Linked DNA regions of Drosophila melanogaster. The protein of the gene in region 1 interacts with the protein of each later gene in a biochemical or structural test. Each region holds a gene or a part of one and is shown on either strand. Other genes may lie near its edges. The genes, in order: Tnpo-SR, Rbp1, SF2 and B52.

What was found.
Region 2: the proteins of Tnpo-SR (region 1) and Rbp1 interact in far-western blotting, tested with the Drosophila melanogaster proteins (one study listed by BioGRID).
Region 3: the proteins of Tnpo-SR (region 1) and SF2 interact in far-western blotting, tested with the Drosophila melanogaster proteins (one study listed by BioGRID).
Region 4: the proteins of Tnpo-SR (region 1) and B52 interact in far-western blotting, tested with the Drosophila melanogaster proteins (one study listed by BioGRID).

The regions. Positions count from the first base shown.
Region 1 is NT_033779.5:2,758,264-2,764,417, forward strand, and holds Tnpo-SR (Transportin-Serine/Arginine rich), read left to right. Parts: upstream 1-1,660; 5' UTR 1,661-1,769; coding exon 1,770-1,883; intron 1,884-1,953; coding exon 1,954-3,045; intron 3,046-3,240; coding exon 3,241-3,407; intron 3,408-3,460; coding exon 3,461-4,825; intron 4,826-4,887; coding exon 4,888-4,948; 3' UTR 4,949-5,626; downstream 5,627-6,154. Other genes in the region: HemK2 (HemK methyltransferase 2), read right to left, coding at 287-961; Snapin (SNAP associated protein), read right to left, coding at 980-1,384; Snx21 (sorting nexin 21), read right to left, coding at 6,043-6,154.
Region 2 is NT_033777.3:10,782,647-10,786,978, forward strand, and holds Rbp1 (RNA-binding protein 1), read left to right. Parts: upstream 1-1,736; 5' UTR 1,737-1,834; intron 1,835-1,910; 5' UTR 1,911-1,960; coding exon 1,961-2,277; intron 2,278-2,756; coding exon 2,757-2,874; 3' UTR 2,875-3,511; coding exon of another isoform or gene 3,512-3,602; 3' UTR 3,603-3,819; downstream 3,820-4,332. Other genes in the region: mRpL37 (mitochondrial ribosomal protein L37), read right to left, coding at 1-384, 440-720, 778-1,125, 1,188-1,363; Art1 (arginine methyltransferase 1), read right to left, coding at 4,120-4,332. UniProt on the Drosophila melanogaster protein: Contributes to the activation of female-specific DSX splicing in vivo by recognizing the RBP1 target sequences within the purine-rich polypyrimidine tract of the female-specific 3' splice site.
Region 3 is NT_033777.3:16,338,443-16,343,935, reverse strand, and holds SF2 (splicing factor 2), read left to right. Parts: upstream 1-1,947; 5' UTR 1,948-2,044; coding exon 2,045-2,208; intron 2,209-2,337; coding exon 2,338-2,707; intron 2,708-2,989; coding exon 2,990-3,114; intron 3,115-3,173; coding exon 3,174-3,282; 3' UTR 3,283-4,993; downstream 4,994-5,493. Other genes in the region: pad (poils au dos), read right to left, coding at 1-892, 948-1,330, 1,390-1,542.
Region 4 is NT_033777.3:13,659,451-13,667,347, reverse strand, and holds B52 (B52), read right to left. Parts: upstream 6,038-7,897; 5' UTR 5,906-6,037; exon of another isoform or gene 5,647-5,905; 5' UTR 5,615-5,646; coding exon 5,489-5,614; intron 5,188-5,488; coding exon 5,117-5,187; intron 5,052-5,116; coding exon 4,944-5,051; intron 4,394-4,943; coding exon 4,297-4,393; coding exon of another isoform or gene 4,240-4,296; exon of another isoform or gene 3,894-4,239; coding exon of another isoform or gene 3,873-3,893; exon of another isoform or gene 1,896-3,872; coding exon 1,822-1,895; intron 1,759-1,821; coding exon 1,447-1,758; intron 1,265-1,446; coding exon 1,100-1,264; intron 993-1,099; coding exon of another isoform or gene 956-992; exon of another isoform or gene 930-955; coding exon 815-929; 3' UTR 457-814; downstream 1-456. Other genes in the region: Hrb87F (heterogeneous nuclear ribonucleoprotein at 87F), read left to right, coding at 6,961-7,008, 7,700-7,897. UniProt on the Drosophila melanogaster protein: Essential for development. May have a critical role in splicing or in controlling alternative splice site use of at least some pre-mRNA in vivo. Not required for all splicing. May play a general role in the condensation or decondensation of chromatin.

The DNA.
Region 1 (6,154 bases):
AAATCGATTAGCCTTAGCAGATGCCTATTAAAAAAACGAATGATGAAATTCCGGGCTCTTCGTTGGGCAAATGAAGTTGAGCTACTTTTATATTCAAATTCAAATATAAGCGCAAAAATTTCTAAAAGTTTAAGAGCTTTTAAGTTTCATAAGCCATTTCTTTCATTTATTTCAACTTTTATTAAAATTATTCTCCATATTATTTAGTATCAAATTTAAGAATAAACGCCTAAAAAAGTTTATCTTTTAATTAAAATACAACTTTAATTTGATGCTATTGCACGAGTCATGATGATGCCAAGTACCTGGTGACCTTCAGTATGCACAAATGCTCGCCAGGAATGCGTCGCTCCATGAACTTAACAGCCCGGAACTGGAGGCCCTCTAAGTATTTGATAATCTCCTCCGGCTTGTTCTCCCGCAGCAGGAGTAGGTAGAGCACGCCTCGAGGCGAAAGAATGTCATCCAATTGCTTGAGTAGAATGTCCGTGACGCGTCGCCCGTCCTGTCCACCAGCCCAGGAGAAAACCAGATTGCGATCCGTTGAGGATTCGCTGTGCGAATCGAACTGTTGCGTCTGCAGCTCCTCGTCACTGGTGACTACATAGGGCGGATTGAAGAGCAGCACGTCCACGGATCGCGGACGCAGTGCATCCGCTAGGCTGCAGCGAATGCTATCCAAGCGAGCGCCATTCCGAGTCGCAGTTCTTCGAGTGGCATTGCAGGCTTTGGGATTGATATCCGTAGCTAGGCACAGCGAAAAGCCAGCCAGTTTCTTGGCCAGCGCCGTGATGATCACACCCGAACCGGAGCCCAGTTCGACGCAGAGACTCGGCTGTAGCCGGTCCAGGTACTCCAGATCCTTTTCCAGGGCATCCAGCAGCAGGAACGAGTCCTCCGCTGGCTCGTAAACGTGCTCGAAATCTTCTGGGCTCAAGTGGTCGGTGTAGGGCGTCTCCATGACGAACAGTAATTGGATTTAGGATATGTTGGTGCTGAGCGCGGAATCGAGAAGCGCCTGTCGCCGCCGCTGCTCCTTCTCTATCAGCTTGTGCAGACCCGTCAGCCGCTCCTGGCTGGTCACCAACACGTTGCTTATGACCGTCACCTTGTGCTTGACGTTCAGCAGCTCCTTCACCTTGTCCGCGAACTCGGGTATCTGACTCTGCGCCTTTTCGATGTCCCTCAGCTGGGCGGCCAGTGCATCCAGTTGGCCACGCAGCTCAGCCTGCAGCTGGATGGTGGAGGCCACGCGCTCGTCCAACCGCTCGATCGTCGGCTTGAAGAGATTGGTGATGCCCTCGGCGAGGATGTCGCGCGTGGGATTCGTGCAAAAGTTCTCCGTGTTCTCCTCCAAGGAAGTCACGGTGCTGTCCGAATCCATTGCAGAATTCTGATCAGAAAACTGATTAGAGATGTTGTTGCGAGCAACCAATGGTATCGATGTATCGACTACATAGGGGTGGCAAGTATTAAGATATAAAAACCGAGTAGCTTTATTGCTCAAAAAACGAATTCACATAAGCTAAAAAATATTTGACTGTAAAAATATTTTAATTATTTTTAATGGTCCTTAATGTTTGACGCACTTGACAACCCTGAATAATTTCAAAAAGTCCTGCAGACTATCGGACATTCACCTTTCAAAGTTATCGCATGCCACCTCCTTGCGTTATCGATACACGGGATGTACGCAATCAGCCATCGCTAATAAAGTATAATAATAAGTAATTAAGAAATTTTATGCGCTGATTAAAGCTGCCGATGAAATGGATACGTACTCGGTGGACGTGGTGTACCAAGCAATCAGCGCCCTCTTCCAAGGCAACAATCCCAAGGAGCAGGAGAAGGCCAACAAATGGCTCCAGGACTTCCAGAAGTCGGTGAGTGATAATCGCCCGGTGTACGAAACCTTCGTGCGATTGCTAAGTTTTTTTTTGGACTTCCTTAAAGATCTATTCTTGGACGATTGCGGACGAGCTGCTTCACCAGAAACGAGACCTGCACGCCAACTACTTTGCTGCGCAGACCATGCGGAACAAGATACAGAACTCCTTCAGCGAACTGCCACCGCACACGCACGAATCTCTGCGGGATTCACTGATCACACACATAGGCCAGATCGACGAGCAGACGGACAATGTGATTGTGACGCAGCTCAGTCTGGCGGTTGCCGATCTGGCCCTGCTGATGGCCAGCTGGCGGGAGCCGATCAACGATCTTCTGGTGACACTGGCGCCACATCAGTGCGCCATCTGGCCCCTGCTGGAGGTGCTCAAGGTGCTTCCCGAGGAAATAGACTCACGGTATCTGCGGCTGGGCGCCAATCGGCGCGAGGAGGTGCACAAGCAGCTGGACGCCAGCGCAGAGTGTGTCCTAAAGTTCCTGTGTATGTGCCTACAGCGGGAGGATCTCGACCAGCAGCGCGTGTGGAATGCGGCGTTGCGCACCTACAGTGCCTGGCTGGTGATCCATGCCTTTCCCGTCTCGCACGTGTACAACAACGCCCTCACACAGCTGGCCTTCCGGTTGCTCTCGCTGCCGGAGACCAGTGGAAAACTGCACGACAATGCCACCGAATGCGTGTGTGCGCTGCTCTCCTGCATAAACACACGACAGGATGGCGCCAGCGATCCGGAGTCCTCTTTCGAGGCACAACTCTTTGGAGCTGTCTGCATGCTGGAGACTCCCTATCACTTGAGTGTGGCGCACGAGGACACCGACAAGACGATCAACTACTGCCGAATTTTCACCTCGTTGTGCGATGCCTTCTTCTACGATTTATTGGCCGATGCCCAGAAGCCACACTACAGTTTGAAAGGACTGGATCTTGTGCTGCTTTGCGTCGGACACTTCGACTACGAGGTGGCCGAGATCACCTTCCACCTGTGGTACAAACTCTCCGAGGATCTATTCCAGCGCAACGAGGATAAGCTGACGGTTCTATTCCGGCCGCACATCGAGCGGCTGATCAGCGCCCTGTTTCGCCACTCGCAAATGGAGAGCGACCACGACGGGCTCATCGAGGAGAACAACAATTTCTTTGTGAGTGTGTGATATTGAGAAATTTTAGCAGTTTTCTTTGAAGTTGGGTATTTTAATTGAATAGGCATTTATGGCTAGAGTCGGTTTATTTAGAAATGAGTACAAGAAGTTTGATTAGTTTTCTACATTATCAACGTTAAATTAATATAATGCCTTGAAGTTAATTGTACTAATCTTAAAACAAATGAATTGCAGGACTTTCGACGCAAGGTCTCAGATCTAATAAAAGACGTGGCCTTCATAGTGGGATCTGGAGCGTGCTTCAAGCAAATGTTTCATATCCTGCAAGCTCCAGAAACTACGTGGGAGTCCACAGAGGCAGCACTGTTCATTATGCAGAACGTGGCCAAAAATATACTTCCGTACGTATGCAGCTGTTTATTACCATGTCAGATTTACAATACTTACCTTGCAGAGATGAGAACGAAGTGATCCCCAAGGTGGTGGAGGCGATTCTCAATATGTCGGAGCAAACGCACATAGCAGTTAGGTACACTGCGATTCTACTGATCGGCGAACTGTGCGACTGGATTGAGAACCATCCTGAATCGCTGGAGGCAGTCCTAAACTTTTTGCTGTACGCCCTGCAGCAGAAAAATGGCTTGGCGCCAGCTGCGGCCATTGCATTGACTTCCATTTGCTCCGCCTGCCGACAGAAGATGGTGTGCCATATAAGCGGTCTTGTGGAGATCGCCCGCAGTCTGGACAGCTTTCAAATAAACAACGATGTGGCAATAGGATTGCTAAAGGGCATATCGCTTATACTGACACGCCTGCCACGCGAGCAACTGCAGCCTGCTCTGCGGGAAATCGTCGGCTTCCAGCTGCAACCACTGGCACAATTGGTGGACAGCACTGGCAGTACTCCTCAAAAGGGAGAGCGCACCGATCCCGTTTACTGGATAGACCGCGCCTGCGCCATTATCCGACACACGAATCCAGACGTTCCCGACAACGTGGAGCACCCCACGGTAGCTATTCTGAACGACGCCTGGCAGCTGATATCGCGGGTGATGGATAAGTACCAGAGTGATCTGCGTATCATGGAGCGCACCTGCCGACTGATTCGCTACGGCATTCGGATGGTGAGAAAGCAAGCAATGATGCTGGTGGAACCGCTGATCAAACAAATGGTCGTGCTGTATTCTGTGCAGCACCACAGTTGCTTCCTCTACGTGGGTTCCATACTGGTGGACGAGTTCGCAAAGTCCAGCGAGTGCATTGGCGGACTTTTGGAGATGCTTCAGGCATTTATAGAGCCCACATTTGGCCTGCTTCAGATGGAGAACGGTCTAAAAAATAACCCCGACACAGTGGATGACTTCTTCCGTTTGGCATCGCGTTACCTGGACTGTTGTCCCCACCAGCTGCTCCAGAGCAGTCTCATCACGCCGATCTTCCAGTGTGCGCTAATAGCCTGCTCCTTGGACCACCGCGAGGCCAACTCGTCTGTGATGAAGTTCTTTATCAACCTGTTGGTTTGGGGCAGATCGAATAACCATAGCCGGAACACCGAGTGCCGTCCCTTGGTGGTGGAGCTGGCCAGTCAGCATGGCGGTGCTCTGGTGATGAACCTGATCCAGGCATCCGTCTTTCAGCTGCACTCCTACATGCTGGTGGATGTGGCCGAGGTGCTCCACGAACTGAAGCAGGTGGTGGGCAACGAGCGGATGCAGCCCTTCCTGGCCCAGGCGCTGGAGGCACTGCCCAAAAAGAACAGCGGTGGCTACGTGACAGCCACGCAGCAACAGCTGGACGAATTTAGCAGCACAGTTCTGAGGTGAGGATTTGCCATCAGACGTTTTGTATTTTATTCATAATATATTATATTTCCTTTTGTAGAGCGGACACAACGAAAGCCATTTCGCAAGCCTTGAAAACCTTCACGCGACTCTTTCGCTAATCAGGGAGATGCATGAGTTTGGATTCGGATGATTCTGTACATTTTGAATGATGTATGTAATGTGGCAAGGGTGCTAGGAATTTTGTTAAAAACGCACGTACCCCTCTATTTATAATATAGTTGAATCGATTGTTTGACGTAATAAGTTATATATAATTTGAATTGTACATTTTGAGTGCGGTCAAGAGATCCTCACAGAATTTAGCAGTAAGTTATTTACATCAGCGTGCACTCCTAGCTCTAAGTTTAAAACCTAAAATGACTCACAAACAAGCATAGGCATAAGGCAAACCATTAAATATATACCATTTAGATATAATTGACCACATTTGTTCTGCAAAACACTTGAGTATAATATTTATTTATTGAAAAAGCAATCACAAGACATTGGGCTGGAAGAAAAAAAAAACAAAAAAGTCTGGGAGCTGCGTTGTTCGTTTGACTTGTCTGATATTTCCGCAGGCTGATATGGAATTCTGGGCATGGATTTTGAGACACTGCGTCATGGACATTCGATGATGGATTTGTGAATTATGTACGTTGCACGGCTTAATCACAACTCCCACTGGGTACAAACTACAAACTAGACGATTGAAGAGATATCAAACAATACGTAACATGAAACATAAATATGCTTAGACTAACCTTTAAGTTACCAAAGCAGTACGTTACGAACAGAACCTTTTTGTTTCGAATTACATTTAGTCGCAATATTAATGTAAGCTATTAATAAGAACCAATTTTAGTTAAATTATTTGAAAATCTTTGATTTAGTTATAAAAATCTAACATTTTAATTTGAAAATCAGAGTTTTAAAATAACGAATTAAACATTTAGACGAAGAGACGTACATACTTTTTTTTTTTAATTGTTGTCTTAAATTGGTTATGCTTTGTGACACATTGTTCGCACGAACGGACTACTTTGGAGGACAAAGGGGGTACATATGGGCTCTACCTCAAAGGTTGATAAATACTTCTTTCACCTTAAAACTAATTGCACACATTATCTAATTGCACTTTTCGCCGGACAGCTAAAGACTACAGAACAAAATATTAAACTAATGGATGAAAATTGTAGCGGAGATTCACGATTCAAATTGTTTCAGTGCGAGGATCGATCTTGTGTATAGCCTGCATGAGGCTCTCGGTGTTCGCCGTGTTGATGCCCTGCTTGGACATGTCAGTCAGTCGGTCGGTGATTGGC
Region 2 (4,332 bases), on another chromosome or scaffold:
CCTCGCCATTGTAATTATCCAAATGCGTTCGCCCTCCTTCATAAGAGCATTCAGCAAACAGATTGTAGTTTTGCCTATGGAACCAATAGTTCTTGGCAGTGCTATTGGCACCAAGATCGAGGGTATTCAGCTGCAACACTCCGAAGTGGAACGTCCTACCGTCAGTCTGGACGCTCTGCACAACAATTGGTTTGGGAAGAGCTCCTACGGAATCCCCATGCAGTTGCTTTGCTCGAGCGGCTGCCACAACGAAAGCTTTGACCAGTGTCCTCGCCTGAAGCTGAGAAGTTGTGACCTCGGATCCGTGGGAGTTTTTGACTTGGTGTTTGTTAAACACCGTAAAGATGGTGTGCGGGTGGGAGCAGGTGATGTCCGAGCGCAAAGCTAAATGAATAACATTGTTAGTCATGCATCGGGTAGTACTTATTAAACAACTTACGATACAAGTTCTTAGCTTGGTAAATGTGGTACTTCGGAATCGATATAGTACTCTTCATGGGGTAAAGATCAGGCAGATCTCCTTCGAATTTTCCCTTAACACCTTCGATGGCTCGGTTGGCAAATACCACTTTTTCAGCATTGATTGAGAATCCTAGCAGATCCCCGTCTTTGCTTAAAAAAGTCTTAAAAGACGCGTTGTCTATCAGCTTCCTTCGAACAGAGACTGAACGGCCAGCCAGTTTTTCACTTTCATGCAGGAGTTTGTTTACCAACAGTCGGCTGAGGAGATATTATTATTTACTTATGTTATGATACAGTTTAAAGATATGATCTTACTTGACCCTTTCGTGTGATATTCCGTAGGAGCGGGGCAGGTTAAAGGCCGGCCTCTCCGGTAGCCTCACCTTGGGCAGCTTGACTTGCTCTGCATCAAGCACGTGGGATGCCAGAATCGCATGCCGGACACTCTTGTCTACGGAATTTGGCAACTGCTGACTTGCAATGGCATCCTCGATGTGCTTGGGAAATGTTTGGATCACAATGGAGTTGGTCAGCACCTGGGCCTGCGGCAATCCACCAATTAGCACGCTGTTGTCGGAGTAAGTGTTGCAAACTGTGGGGTGCCAGTCAGGGTGCCTGCTGTCCTCGGGAACGGGTTTTTCGCGTGCGCCAACAATGTCCACTCTGTAGGTAAAGTTAGATATGTTACCTTTTACCATCAGTACATATTTCCCATTAATACTCACAGTTTTTTTTCAACTTTGGCGTTCAAGAGATCCTCGGGATTCTTCACCAGAACACCTAGCTTCAGGAGCTCCGCCGCGGCGCCAGTTTCCTTGGGGACTCGCCTACCCTGGACCAGCCAGTGCTTCTTGAAATGCCAGCCGATGTGCTGGGCACAGAGAGTGTTCGTCAGCCTCATTTAAGTTAGGATTTGCTTATGTTTTCGTTCAATGAAATGAAGCCCGGCGGACTGGTTATGAAACTCAGTGCTGCCAGATGGTGAGAGAAATTCCCTGCCCCATCGGCAATAAATATTAGTGATGTGATCACTTCATCCACGGTTCAAGCTGTAAATCGTTACATCGTGATTTTTAATTTTATATGTATTCAATTTCTTGTATAAGGCCGTATAATTTAACAATTTTAGTGAATGAAATTGCAATATCTTATAATTGTTGTTTTTTTGGCACTTGTAATGGTTAGAGAAATATTATAAAAATATTTAATAACAAGAAAATGTAACATATCAGAAACTGGCGATAGCGATGTATCGGTTTTCGATGCCACCACTATTTCCGCGTCTGGTCACACTTTTCGGTAATTGTAATAAATAAAGGAAAGGCGGAGATTTTTGTTAAAATTTTAACAAAATTGGATGACATTTTAGAAGGTAAGTGTGGAAATTAGTGTTTATACAACAGCTCATTGCACGGATAATATAAGTAACCCGTATACTCGTGTTTTAGCCGCTTGCTCACCTCCCGCAATACTCACGATACCGCACCGCCCGACAAAAATGCCGCGATATAGGGAGTGGGACTTGGCCTGCAAGGTGTACGTGGGAAACCTGGGCTCCTCGGCGTCCAAGCACGAGATAGAAGGCGCATTTGCCAAATATGGACCCCTGCGAAACGTGTGGGTGGCCCGCAATCCACCAGGTTTCGCCTTTGTCGAATTTGAGGATCGCCGTGACGCGGAAGACGCAACGCGTGCCCTGGACGGAACACGCTGCTGCGGCACTAGGATTCGCGTAGAGATGTCTTCGGGTCGCTCGCGCGATCGCCGGCGCGGAGAAGGCGGCAGTAGTGGTCGCTCTGGTTCCGGACGCTACAGGTAATTCCACGACAAAAAAACTGTACTTCTCATGTTACTTGGCTCAATGTGTCTCCCAAATGGAACAATGGATCACTTGACTCCAAAAATTGGGTACTTTCTTCAGGTTTCTAAGCATATGATGGCGGTCTTGCCTGTAACCGTCAAAATTAATCAATCCTTATCAAAACGTATAAAATTTGTTATCGAAATTTCATTGGAATCGTCGCAAAAAACATTAATTGCGAATAGCAAACATGTACATTTTCCCGCCTTTTTCTGCACGTGATAGAACAGCCTTCGAAATGTCAGTTTTATGAGTACTTCTTCGCAGGCTGTTTTATTCATGTCCAACTGACATCACATCGCTATTCATAACATTTCTAATTAAAAATTGACTTGGTACTTTATTTAGACCAAACTTACAAACTGTATACATATATTATCTACGATCCAATCATTTAGTGGTTGTTAAATTCGAGTTATCGACACTTTTTCAGGATAACTCCTTCGGCTAGAACTACTTCCACTGCTACTTCTTCCTTCTACAACATCAACAATCTACAACAGCAACCATCTTCACAGCCACAGCCAGCAACCTTCAACTTGCAACTCTAAATTAACCATGTTCAGCGTCACAGCCTCACAGAAGTTTTGATTAGCAACCCAAATGATTTCATCCTAGAAGAAGCAATGCAGTCGCCCAAAGAGTTCTTTTTTAAAGTTATCCTGCGTATCCTTCAAATAATTGCTTACAATTATTTCTTTAATTTAGTTGCCTATGATATGAGGGTTCGTCCGCTTTCTCAAGTACTTGACTCTGATGTCGAGAAAACTGGCCTTGAACGCGTTTAACGCTGATGATCACAGCTACTATAGATTTGTTCGACCATTTTCTTATTGCATATGTATCCGACAAAGTAGAAAGCTTTAAACTCTAATTATAGGATATCAGTTGGTAATAGATAGTAAATGTAATTGCAGCAGCTAAATGTAATAGCAGCATTAGCAATAATACTCTTATCTTAATTGGTTCACAGCTTAATTCATAGAAACAAAACAGTTTGCACAGCTTTCATTTTTGTTCCCCCTGGTAATTAGTTTAAGTAACTATTTAGCAGTATTTAACACTCCTATTTTGCAGCTCTTTGTAAGGCGCGTATGTACATACACTTCTTACCATTCTAAGCTGATTTAAATAATTTTATTAAGCTTTTAAGTAATCATTTCTTCTTTACCAATGCGTTTATTTCAGGTCACGTTCGCCACGTCGCTCCCGATCGCCCCGCAGCCGCAGCTTCTCGCGCGATCGTCGAAGTCGCTCGGATTCTCGGGATCGTCATTAATGTTTCCAAAAGGATATCGTTTAAGCAGTGTCGCATCAAAGAACAAGCCGGCCAAGGCCGTATTTTCTGTAGGAATTCCTATGTCGATTGCGATCCAAGTAAATTTACTTCAGATGACAATATAAATCTTTCGATGCATTCTTGAAATTCCTTTTTTTTTTTTACTAAAAAATAAAGACGCACAATCAGCGAGTTTTGATTGGTTTCATATATCATCAAAAACAGTTTGTTTCCAGCAAAAGGGGACGTGCTTAGTGCACTGTTTATTATGTGAGAATTGACGTGCTGCTGTACAACTTGCTTAGAAGTATGTTCGAATAATAATTTAAACAGGCGCACGAGTGTAAAATATTATGTATACTAACAAAGGTACACTTTAAACTTAGGAGAAGACGCAACACGAATTCGTTGCACATTTCGCACTGGAATAAACCTTACGTCTAGTCATTGTATGTATCCTCGCTGCAGGGCTCTGAGCCCCATCCCAAATGGCAGATCGGATTGGTTATGGCTGCCCCTAGCGCATGCGGTATGTGTTCGACTCCTGAATTTGAGACAATTCGCCCTTGAAATTAATGTCGATGACGAAGTCCAGGTCACGGTTGTTCCGCTCGTTGGGCTTCATCTGGAACGTGCCAGTGATCTCCTCGTTCTTCTTTGCCGTCATGTGGTCATCGAGGTAGAACACGGTTTGCTTCCAATGCGTGTATGTGGAGTCTGGTGACGTACT
Region 3 (5,493 bases), on another chromosome or scaffold:
CACCAACTGCGAATTGGTGGTGCTGGTATGTGGAGATCTAATAATTTGCTGAGAGGTCACTTGTGCCGTATTTGGAAGTTGGGTAAGCGGTTGTTGCGGCGCCAGAAATTGATTTTGCGTCACCGTAGTGCCCTGGAAGGCGCTTCCTGGATTGCCCAATGTTTGCGGTGTCAGTTGCAGAGTAGCCGGAATTGATGTTGGTGTCAGCTGCATGATTGGCTGGCCATCCGCAGTGGCCAGCTGAGGCTGAAGTTTCATCTGTACTTGGTATGTCGTGGGCAACACTAGGTTCTTGGTGTCTATGTGCGCCACGATCTGCTGATCCGAATTCTCGTCCCGAATGGTGATAGGCAGAAAGCACTTGTTTGGTGACAGCAGGTTGGTTGTCGACTGCGGACCCGCCAGGCTGGAGAGCAGGGCAGCAGCATTTAGCTGCGTCTGGGCAGGAACTGTCCCTGCACTTGTCACTCCTCCGCTACCTGGCATCAACTGCAGCTGTATTTGCGGCTGACTGCCACCGAATTGCGGCATTGAAGTGGTGAACTGGGGCGCTGTAGGCGAAGAGAGCACAAAGTTCAACTTTGGCTTTTTACTGTCGCCAGAACTTGACGTATCATCCTGAGCGACGGAGTACTGTGTGGTAGCCTGCAGCTGGTTGGTCAGTTGCTGTAGTTGTTGCTGAAGCTGAAGTTGTTGAATCTGCTGCCACAAAGGCTGCAGTTGATCGCCTAGCTGCGGTTGTAACTGCAACTGAGTAGGGTTTATGGTAGGCGTTACTGTCTGGGACTGCAGAGAATGTTGCTGCTGGGGCTTGGCAGGCGATATGGGCTCCTTTTTCCCCAGCGGCGTTATCTTGATGTCAGGCTTGAGGCGTATAAACTCTTCCAAAGCACTAAGTGGATAGAATGTTATTGAGATGATTTTCATGAAAGTGAATTCCCACTCACGTCTGTCTTTCGCTTTTTATTTGAACTTCCGGCATAGCTTGATGCTGCTGCTGCTGCTGCTGTACCCCGTTGTCCATCGTTATGGTGTACTGCTGCTGGGGCTGCATGTTTACCGCCTGGATTATGCTGTTCAAGAGATTTCCGGACTGCTGAGCTCCATTAGGAACTGGTGGAGCTGACTGCGCCACACTGAGGCTCTTCCCAGTTTCATCGACCGCATCCCGAATGTATAGCTTGTCGCTGCTTGGCGCCGGGCGAATATTGAGACAGTTGTTTAGCATGGTCTGTGAGTTACGGCAAGTGGCGCGAAGTCCGTGGATTTGCTCCACCAACTGCACACACTGGGCGCACACCACTTTGGGCAAGCGATCCTTTTCATCGATCTGCAAGAAGTATGGGTTTGTTAGCCAAAAGTAATGGGAGATTGATGCACTAGCACGACCTGCAGTGAGAGACACTCGAGTATCTTTTGGCTCAGATTCTTGGCGCGTCCCTCGGGTGAGTAGATGTTCGTCTTGTGATCGCTGCTGTCCGTGCAGATGCGACACAGGTCGTAGTAGTTAATGCAGCGAACGTTGCTTCCGGCCGCAGCCATTTTTCCGGTGGCTCAGTGGTTTTCGAAATGCTATTTATGTTTAGTGTATTGCACATGCAAATATTTGTTGTCTTTTCTTCGACTGAACGACGCTTAGTGGTGACACTGCGCGAATACATTGCAGCTCGGCGTGATTGGCAATAACTATCGGTAAATTATAATATAAATGAAAGGAACGACATTATGTTTACCCTGCCTTATAACCTTTAACCGAGGAAATTCCACAAACTTCTTAATTTATTTCATTCTAATAACTTATTCATTCTAATTCCCAACTAAGCGAAGTAAGTACTTACAGGGTAGCTATCGATATAAGCAACGAAACTTCCACCTATAGTTTCGTATCAACGTTATAATTATCGATAACTACTGTGCACCCAAGGGATTTACCCAACTCGAACTAACGGTCATACTGCGTCGGCCATTTGTCATTGTGAGCGTGACAAAAATAAGTTCTCTGAAAATCGAAATAGATCGAAGCGTCTGATTTAAACTGGAGAAAATGGGATCACGCAACGAGTGCCGTATATATGTGGGCAACCTTCCCCCAGATATACGCACCAAGGATATCCAGGACCTGTTCCACAAGTTCGGCAAAGTAACTTTCGTCGATCTGAAAAATCGGCGTGGGCCGCCATTTGCTTTTGTTGAGTTCGAAGATGCGCGGTGAGTAATGCGAATACACACAGCTGGCCCAGCGCCCCGGCTAAGACACCCAACTAATTCGCGACAACTGCTTCTCTTCCTTCCTTGACCATGGTCCATATCCTCCGGCTGCCTCTTGGCCCAATTTAGGGATGCCGACGATGCGGTGAAGGCGCGCGACGGCTACGACTACGATGGGTATCGTCTGCGCGTGGAGTTCCCGCGGGGCGGTGGTCCTGGAAGCTACCGCGGCGGCAACCGCAATGACCGAAGCCGCGACGGTGGGGGACGGATGGGCGGACGCGGACCGCCAGCCAAGCGCTCGCAGTACCGCGTCATGGTTACTGGACTGCCCGCCTCCGGATCGTGGCAAGATCTCAAGGATCACATGCGCGAGGCCGGCGACGTCTGCTTCGCGGACACTTACAAGGATGGTTCCGGCGTCGTTGAGTTCCTGCGCCACGAGGACATGAAGTACGCAATCAAAAAATTGGACGACTCTCGCTTCCGATCGCATGAGGTATGTAAATTGTCCAGTTCCAACTTTGTAAAATTCAAATGTATTCGGGTTTCAAGGTAGAGAATTTACTTTTGCATTTATTTTGTCAGCATACATTATTCACAGGCTGGAATAATTAAATATGATTTCAGGAATAACATTAAGTTATATTGGTGTAGATGCTTACACTTACGCCCTTAAATGTGTCAATTTGATAAACATCTAGTTCACATTCCTGTTTACATTTTGAAAAATAGTTTGGCGACATTATTCAAATGATATTAATATTTTTATTGTCTTTAGGGCGAGGTTGCCTACATTCGCGTACGCGAGGATAGCGGTGATAACGACAGAGGCGGTGGTGGTGGCGGCAGCGGTGGAGGTGGTGGCGGCAGCGGCGGAGGTGGAAGCCGTGACTACCGCGACAGGTAAACCAAATATTACCACAGTTCATTTTTCAATATTTATTCTATGAATCCCTCCACAGATCCCGTTCGCGCTCATTCTCGTCGAGGCCGCGCCGTCGTGGCACTCCCACATACTCCCCAGTGCGACGTCAATCTTATTCCAGGTCTCGCTCACGTTCTAACTATTAAACACAACCAAGCATTATCCATTAATCTATAATATTTTAATGAGCAGGAAACAGGAAAAGCAAGCTATATTAGGAAATACCAATCAATATTTGTTCAAGACCCCTCAAATACCCCAATTGTAAATTGATTTGTAAAATGAAATCAACGACCAATCAAGTTTGTTCAGTCAAGTTCCGAACTCTCACCGAAGCCAACATACTTAAAAAAGAAAAACACTTGCTTTTCCAACTTATCACACGTTCTAAGAAGCAGAAATGTTCTCTTAAGTTATAATCCACCGGGCAAAATTTGACAAAAACAGTTCTAAAATGACAACTGTAAACCAAGGAATTCTCTTTGGCCAAAAGCACTCGGCATTCCTTGATTTGCTTTTGATTATCTTTTGAGCCTTTGCTCAGTCTGCTTCCTACATATTATATTATAACTCTTATTTTGGCTGCACGTTTTCCAAGCTAATTTATTAGAATCTACCTTAACGAAAACAAGAAACATCGATACAGAATAAATATGTTTGTAATGAGATAAAGAAAAGAAACAGAAATCCGAACACAACGCAATGTCAACCACATTGATAAGCAAACTATTAATACTTTAATTTTTATTTTCTTCTCTTCCCCATTTTGCGCGTTTATGTTTGGAGAGTGATGAGGATGTGGAGGATGAGGATTAATGGATGTGGAGGAGGATATTTTGATGTTGATTTTGGCGTGGATTGGATAAATTTGGATTGAATTTAGTGGAGGCAGGACCTGTCTATAGATCTTATAAATATGAAAATATTTATTTGATTGTAATCAGGATTGGATTTGGATTTAGGATTGTTCTGAGCCCTTCGCTAGGACAACGTGGGATGCAGTGTCCCATGGCTAACTCGCACCTCGGAGGAGGAGGAGACAGGAATTTCGCATTGTTGAAGGATTTTATGTGTGAACTTTGGTCGTGTTCAGGTTAACGGATGTTTGGAGGAGGAGAATGTCGATGGCATCGTTGACGGTGAGGAACACTTGCGTTGCCCTTGGACAGGACTAAATCATACAGTTTCGGACTCGGCCGCATCTCTTCGAGCCTCGCCCCTTCTTCGGCATCTGCCTAACGGTCGGGATTAGGATTCGCTTGGACAGGCTCACACGCTTTGTTGTCGCCTTCTTTGGATCGCACTTCAGAAACTAGCTCACCCAGGGAACCGCGTATTTCGTGGCCTTCGCGCCCCTGTCGTTGTCATTTCACGGATTTGCTGTGCATCATCCAACGTTGACTTGCGCCCAACGCTGGATAGTGGATAGTGGTTCTTGGTCTGGTCCGATCCGATGCGTTCCGGTCTCCCTCTGTCTCGCCTCTCTGTGGTATGTTAGATTGCCACATCAAATTTAACTTTTAATTTGCGTTATTTAGTTTATAATTTATATACTCTTTACCCAAATCTTTCGTCTCCATTGATATTGTTGCCTCTGAAATGTGGCGATTGTCGCGTGTGCGTTTTGTTTTTCATTTTTTTTGAATAGAAGGGCGAAAATTCATAGGCCCCGACTATAGCCCACACCCGCATCATTTGCATGAACTTTCGTTAACCTAATAAAAAGTAATACCACAGCAATTTTGGAACAGAACAGTTCTCTCGTTCTCCTTGCTTATCGATCAACATATAAGCCATAGTTCTAACATATTTTTGAAATGAAATACACATTTACAATAAATATTCATAAAAATTAAGAAAAATGTCATGCTTTTAATACAACATTATAAGATGGGTGCAATCAAATACTTTTAGCAATTTATCTTGCTGAGATTATGAGCTTAAAATTAGACTGCTAGACTCGTGTAGCAGGTATTTGTGTTTATGGGATGTTCCTGTACTTATGAAGATTACAAATTAAGTTTGCTTGTATTATCTGCAGGAAAGACTTCTGTTCTGGATTTCACAACCTTTGCATTCCGAATCAATTTTAAACTTCCCGCTTATGGATTTTTACAGAGGACTGTTATTAGGGCAATGATGACCGTATTGTTTTAACGCAAAATACCAGATTTCTCTGTGCGAAAAACGATTTTTGGTCACTTTGCAGCACGGCCACACTGGCAAACAAACTATATAAGCAACACGCGCATTTTGTTGTTGGGTTTTTCAAAAAATATTCACCAGCTGTTCGGACGCGCGTGGGAACTGCTCTGTGTTTGTTGTTTTTTATAATTTCGAACGGAACGAACTGGTCG
Region 4 (7,897 bases), on another chromosome or scaffold:
ACGTCAAACGCTTGGAAAGAAAAAATCTCTTTTATCCCTATGTGCTTTGTATATAATAGTGTACTTAATTCGTACAAGTAATTACTTTAAAAGCAAAACACAAACGATATATATTGTTAGAACCAAAACTTTGTCAGTTTATAAAACTTAGTTATGCATTTGATTTTAGATTGCTAATTCATTTTCAAATTTTAAATATTTAACTAGGATATATTTCAGCCAATGAGGTGTCAAAATTATCATTGGCGTTCTTCAAATTCAAGATAAATAAAATCAAATGAAATTGTAATTTTAATTCAGGCAAATAATGCGAAATAGTGAAACTAAGACTTTGTAATATACTTATATTCCGAAATTACGACAACAAAAAAGAAAAACAATAAACTAACTTTATATGATTAAAATCGTCGAAGTACTTTATATCCTTTTTGAAGTGAAACCAGCGAGCAAACATTTATAGTTTAAATTTATCCGTATTTATTGAAATTACTCATTGTATAGACAATTTTAAGTGTTCCGGTGTACAAGTCGCAGTAATTTCGTGGCCTATATGTACTCCTTGAATCCAAATCGGCACATTCAGCCGATCCCTGTCATCTTCCAGCCAATGTCCCATGTCCACAACAAGACTTAGGACAAATTGTCGTTATATATTTAAAAGAAAATGACGAGGCCCGACAGTGGTGGATTGGTATGATTTCATATTCATTAAGTTTTGGTTGTAGTCGGGGTGTCTGAGTGTTGATGTTTGTAGAATAGTTATAGTAGAAGTCTAAAATCAAGTGTTTTAATATTAATGGGACAGCTAACTAATCTAATCGTCCATGCTCTCGTTATTGCGGTCCGGTGAGGCGTTTCCATTTTTGGGCGAGGCCGAACGGGAGCGTGAGCGCGAACGCGACTTGTTTTCAGCCGATGCGGATCGATCGCTGCAAAAGAAAGGCATTGTAGTGAACTATAGAACGAGCTTTTGAACGACCACCGTTGGCGGGCTACAAACAGGTGCATCCAAACAAAACCAAAGAAAGCACGAAAGAAAGAATCGTGAACGGTCTATAATAATATGGAGCCATGGTCATCGCACTGTGGCCAAACTTACCGTGAACGGGAGTCGCGGTGGATGGACTTGGAACGTGAGCGGGAACGGGACTCGCGCTTCGAGACGGACCGCGATCGGGAACGGGAGTCACGCTCACGTTTGGGCGAACGGGAGCGGGTGCGGGAGTGGGACTTTGACTTGGACTTGGACACGTCACGCGATTTGCTGCAGCGGAAGTAGTGAAGTAATTAATTAGTGGGCAATCATATGAAGTAAAAAGCCAGGGAGGATCGTAATTAATATTTTCTATCGTGTAAAATCTATATAATATTAATATTAAAGCATATATCACAAAGAATTTGTGATTAAGTACGATCCCTACCAGACTTTATTCTCTCTCTACTTACTTGGATCGCGAGCGGGAGCGAGAACGAGACTTGACTGGCGACTTGGACTTGGAGCGTCCGCCACGAGATTTGGAGCGGCTGCGAGACTTGGAGCGCGAGTGCGACGAGCGGCGAGAGCGAGAACGCCTGCGGGATCGGGAGCGCGATCGGGAGCTGGACGAACGGGAGCGTCCACGTCCGCTGCCGCCGCCACCACCGCTGCGTCCTCCGCGACGATCCTCGACCAAGTGGATCCGCCTGCCGTTTAGCTCGGTGTCATCCAACTTCTCAATGGCCGTCTTCATGTCCGACAACGAGGCGAACTCAACCACGCTGCAAAGGAACACAATTGTAGTTGGTTGTATGTAAAATAATTTCAACCATTTTCAAACATACCCCTCATTGCGACGCTGCTTGTGGGCATCGGCATAGGTGACCTCGCCAGCCTGGCGCATGTAATCCTTGAGATCCTGCAGGGACGCACAAAGTCGGAACGAAAAGATAGTAATTAGTAAGTTTCAGCTTTGGCAGATGTCTCGCACATTTCGACATCGCACATCCGACGGCAGTGGTTGCAACTCAAAGGACAGCCCGTGCAGCAGATGGAGCATTTTGAATGTTTTCGGTATTATTTGGGGCTCCTAACCAAGTCCCAGCCTCTCACAAGTCCCTCTCTCTCTCTCACTCAGTGCCCTGTGTTCGTCTATCCTGTGCTCTTGTCGCGCCTGCCTACGTGTGGAAACCGAGAACCTCACTCCGGACGAAGGATTTCGCTTGGCCAGGAAAAAAGAAGGAGGAGGTGCCCAGAACGTACCGAACACAACATTCAAACACTCCACGCTGCACGCGGCACAAAACTTAAGCGTAAACAATCATAGTTAACAGTGGTTGGCAATTGATAGTAGATATATATATATATATATAGATTGAGTTGATTTGGTTTGGAAATAAATTAAAGTTAACAAAATAGTTGTAATTGAATTCTTACTTAATGCGCTTTCAGAGAGAGGAGGACACACACATCGTTTCTACACCGAGAGTTTAGATTGTCTGCCTAGTAACTGTGGGCCAATGACACCAAGGACACCTCATGACCTCATCGAAAGTCCGATCGAACATCGTTAACTCAACCAGTCAGCCAGAAGAGAACCAGTGGCCAGGCAGGCGGATGAGCGGATGGATGGCCAGAGCTCGTTACGTTTTGTTTGTTTGGATTTGGTATTCGTTTTCATTTGGCCACGTACGTACCACCAAGTACACAGTTTTGTTATGTTTTTCATGTACAACAGAATCATATTATAAATGGCAAAAAGGTATTCAAGTGTTGCGGTAGCTGTTTTCGTTTCGTTTCGGAGGAAGCCACACACCGGATACAGTCAGGAGGAGGTCAGATCAGATCAGAGCAGACATCGCTGGCCAGAACCACCGCACCAGAGAGCCAGAGAATGGAGCATTTGGAGCAGTTTGCCGGTCAGAGGCGGACAACAACCAGCGGCATCGGCACCTCACGCACAAACGAACTGCAAAAATAAGAAATACGTTTCGGGACGCTGCTCTCGCTTCTCCAACGGGTTGGGTTGGTGGTTGTCTAGTCGGTAGTCTCAGCCGGAGACGGGGCAGGTAGCCGTATGCCGTTTGCCGGAGCCGCAGCCATAAGCCAGAGCCGCAGCCGGAAGCCAGAAGAACCGGGAATGGGGGGAAGGAATAAGTTCGGAGGCACTAGCCGAAGTTGGTAACTGAACGCGCGACCAGCATCGCAGCATCGTGTCATCGTCATCGATCGATCATCGTCATATGCTCATCCCTCATCGTCGCCAAGACCATCACATCATCTTAGAATTAGCGAACGCAAGCTTCTCATCTAACCACACTCGATTGATTCGATTCGCACCCTCATCACACTCACAATGGCTATAAGGAATTTGACAATTCTTTATATAATATTGTTGGTAATTAAAATTGTGAATGTTTTTAGCAGAGAGTTAAATACCTAACGCAAGAGGCCAGCCCACGTCTTTTCAATCAGTGTGGGCTTTAATACGTGGGCTGGCCTTTTGACCCGGGCAGCTCATCAACGTCCATCGTCATCGTCTGCTTTCTGATTTCGATTTTGCATTCAGTTTTGGGTTCGATTCTGATCGACTTGTTCATTTCGTTATGTGTTCTATATTATGTTTTATTTGGAATAGACGACGAATGGATGAGGCGGCGGCGATGGCGCTTCGTGGAGGTCGGTCGTAGGTTGCAGATCGTAGTTCGCATATCGAAACCAATCTGGGGCGGCTCTGGGTACTGTCTCACTCTGTCTTCCACCGCATCTTGGTTTTTGGGTAACATTCTGAACCGGTCGGTCGGTCACTAGACTAGCTTGTCTTTCTCACAGCGATTCAATTAGATTTGATTCTCTTTCAGTTTTAGATTCGGCCCCAAGCCGAGGAGGGAATCTCTCAGTCAAAGCACATCAAACTCTTTTTATTATCGGTTTCGGTTGGTGTGTGCAAGAGAAAGTAATGGTGGGTAGATTACACCGATCAGTACCAGGGTTTTAGCAATATCTTTTGTTTTCGTGTTTCACTTAAGTCTAGGTCAACTGTACAGCTTAGGGCTAGATTACAGATTATAGAATTGGCTCTAGTCAGAGTGGAGGAGGAGTTAAAACACAAAACAGGACGAAGACACCGGAAAGTAATTCGAAATCAAAAAGGGGCTCGAAAAGGTTGGTTCTGGGATGGGTAAGTTGATTAATGGGTGTTTGTAATAGTGATCCATTTCAGTCGGTTAGCCGTTTTAATTCTAGTACTACACTCCTCGAATCTAAGCTACAGTATATACCACGCCCAAGGCGCGATACATCGATCCATGCTCACTTACCTGCCAGCTAACGCGGCTAGACAAATTCTCCACAATCAGTCGGTACTCAGTGCGCAACGGTGGGCCATAACGAGAGGATGATCTGGAATTTTTGTTTCTGGTGAATAATTGAATGGATTCGCTAATTAGTATTGACACTGCGCTGCTGCTCCTGATGCTCCATCACAAAAATTAACGGTAATGGTGAATATATTCCAGCATATGCATATTTACATTTGGGTTATGCGCAACAAATCAAACATTTTACATACTATGCGGATGGGTGGAACGTGCAAATAAAAGCAACAATAGTATGCATAGGAAAACGGAGCGTCTTGGAAATGATAATATTAACAGCAAGTCAGTGTCTTTTGGTTCCCTTCCACGCAGAAGAAATCAGCTTATACGATTGCACTACCAAAAGTGTATAAAACTATAGAAGTCAATATATAATAAACTGATGTTTTTTATATATATCGCAAGTAGCTAATATTATAGGTATATAGATTTTGCACGATCTAAGCTGGTTGCATCTGTGTGGATGGAGATATCAAACGAAACAAATTGGCAGTGCTAATTCTAGGGCAAACTTCAACGCAAACAAAGTTGGAGGACGATATCGTCGCTACTTTGGTCCGGTTTTAAGGTCCGCTGGCAGTACTACTTACTTTTCGTTGTAACGACCGCCCCCGCCCCCCCGCCGACCACCATATCGATCGTCGTAGCGGTCGCGGTTGCTGCCACGAGCGGTACCCCTGGCGGGTTCAACAACCACACTGCAAAAATATAGAACATACAATCGTGAGTCATTTCGTACTTTGGCTTATATCTAACAACTCACCGTTCGCCAAGCAGCTCTTTGCCATTCAGTTCATAGACGGCATCGTCGGCATCACGATAGTCTTCGAATTCCTGAAAATTCAATTAGTGATTAGTATTGATTATGGAATTAGTATTGAAGCTACCCTGCCTGTGCATACTCTTATGGAAATACGCTGGGTGAATTTAAGAACAGTTTTTAAGCGTCACTGTATTTGACAGACAAATGATGGAACAAATATAGGTTCAAAAAGAAAAAAAAAGTATTCAAGGGTCGGCTTGAAATGTTAGGAAACCTATAGACAAACAGAGAAATGCAGAAATGTCTTCAAATCAAATTTAACCGATTTTTTTTTTTTACATATTCCAGTTAAATATGATATTTTGTACTCACCACAAAGCCGTAGCCATTTTTGATGAGGATGTCGCGTGTGCGGCCGTAGCCTTTGAAAAAGCGCTCCAAATCGCGCTCGCGCACTCCGTAGGGCAGACCGCCCACATACACTCGAGATCCCACCATGATAACGGTTCCTTACGTATCTGGAGCAGGTGCTATAAAATAGTGAAGTATATATATATATATCAGCAAGGGAACCGTTGCAGTTTGCAGCTTCTATTTTGCTCGACTGTCCTTTAGGAATGGAAGAAAAAAAAAACGCACATATGTACGCGCCGTGTATGTTTCGCCAAGATGGCGGCCACCACATACACACACACACGCTCGCAATGTACCGGGTGTACAGAACCGCTGCAAAAACGAGTTAATTTAACAACGCGAAATACGCGCTGTTCTTCACTTAAGCGTACTCACTAGCACGTACCGTTCAGTGAAGGATATTTGTGGCAAATTTACAATTAAGTCGCTGCCGTACTCTCTCTTTTTCAGGCTTTCCCACACGAAAAAACGCAAGCGACTCGACACAAACGGAAGTGAAAGTGACAGACGAAAGCGATGTTTGACAGTCATTCCAAAGGCGGAATGGAACGATACTTTTTCGCCTATCGATATTTTGGGCGGGCAATGCGTTTCGCTGCGTTAAGGGTATTCCAGTTGCTGTTCGTGTTCCGCTATGAAAAGAATAAACATTAAATATACTTAGTAGTAGCATTTGAATATACTGTTAACAACCTTTTTATTTTGATATCTGCTAGCAAGCACTCATTAGCATTTTTTAACGTTTCTGATTTGATGATATACATAAAATGTTTCTGGATTTATTAATTTATTTCGCACGATGTCTTTTTTTATTCCCAAATGCCTCATAGATCCCGTAATTGTAATATTGATTGACCCTTAGCTGGCTACTTACAAATATACAATTCAATACAAAATAATTTACAAGTTATCTCTTAAAGTGAAGCCTTCCATCGCCCCAGCTAAAGCGAATGCTCGCAGAAAGAGTTATGTAAGCGGTATTAATAATAATACATATTTAGCTAAAAAGTTAAACATATTAAATGTTTCTTGGGTTATCGTGGTAGTAATTATCATAATCCATTTATAAAGATAATACATTCAAATCCGTTTGTTCAGAAATATATACAATAAACTTGTCTAATATTTTTAAGCCCTTACTAGACGAATACAAATTTATATGAAGATATATAAAATCAAGTGTGGCATCAGCTTAATTGTCGAGGAACACCCCTAACGCACCGAAACAATCGTTCCGATTCCACGTGGCGTCCGATTTTCCGACTTTACCCCGTTCTCGACACCTGGTCATACTGCTCACTCCATTCTCATTGTGCGTGCTGTACATTTCATTTATTGCCAGTCTGCCGTCAAAAAAGAACAAAAACAAAAAAAATATTTCCTGCGTTCGGTGTTTAAACTTTCCATCTTCTTGAACAACCAAGGAGAGAATGGCGGAACAAAACGATTCCAACGGAAACTACGACGATGGTGAAGAGGTGAGTTGCAGAATGACCAATTGCTGTTTGTAAATCGTTCATCGCGCGTGAAAGTGCAAAATGTCGACGCCGACAATATTCGTGTATAATATACATTCACGCCGCTTTTTTACCGAATTATGGGGGCCATCGATCCCTGTGCGAATTTAGCCAGCTAAAAGTTTATCGACCTCTTTTGGCGAGAAATATAAGCAATTTCCGATAAAAAAGTTGCCGGCTGTTTGATAAAAAAGAAAACGAAAATTCATACATACATACACATATACGGGCTGTCATGGCGGTGCAAATACTAAAAAAAAAAAAAAAAAATATGGCGAGCGGCTTTTTCTCGCCAGGTAAATTACTATTATAAACAATGGCAAATCCTTGTTGATCAAGGATGATTTTGCACTTTTATCGTTTTATTGACATAAACTTATTGACTTATTGACAGCAACTTATTTTTTTATTAAATTTACAGCAACTTATTATACATTTAAATATTTTTTATACATTTATTCATTTAGATACAGTATGATTTTTTTTTTTATTATATAAATTTATACATTTTTCGCAAAGTTTGTCCAAAGAAATCAATTAATTTAATTTAATATTACAACTTATTTTCGAATCAATGGGTTTTTTTTTTGTTTTTAGAAATTATTTAAATTATAGAACGTCTTTAGCTAATGCATTTGAAATTCACCCGCAGATCACCGAGCCAGAGCAGCTGCGCAAACTGTTCATCGGCGGACTGGACTACCGCACCACAGATGATGGCCTGAAGGCTCACTTCGAGAAGTGGGGCAACATTGTCGACGTGGTGGTGATGAAGGATCCCAAGACGAAGCGCTCTCGCGGCTTCGGTTTCATCACGTACTCCCAGTCGTACATGATCGACAATGCGCAG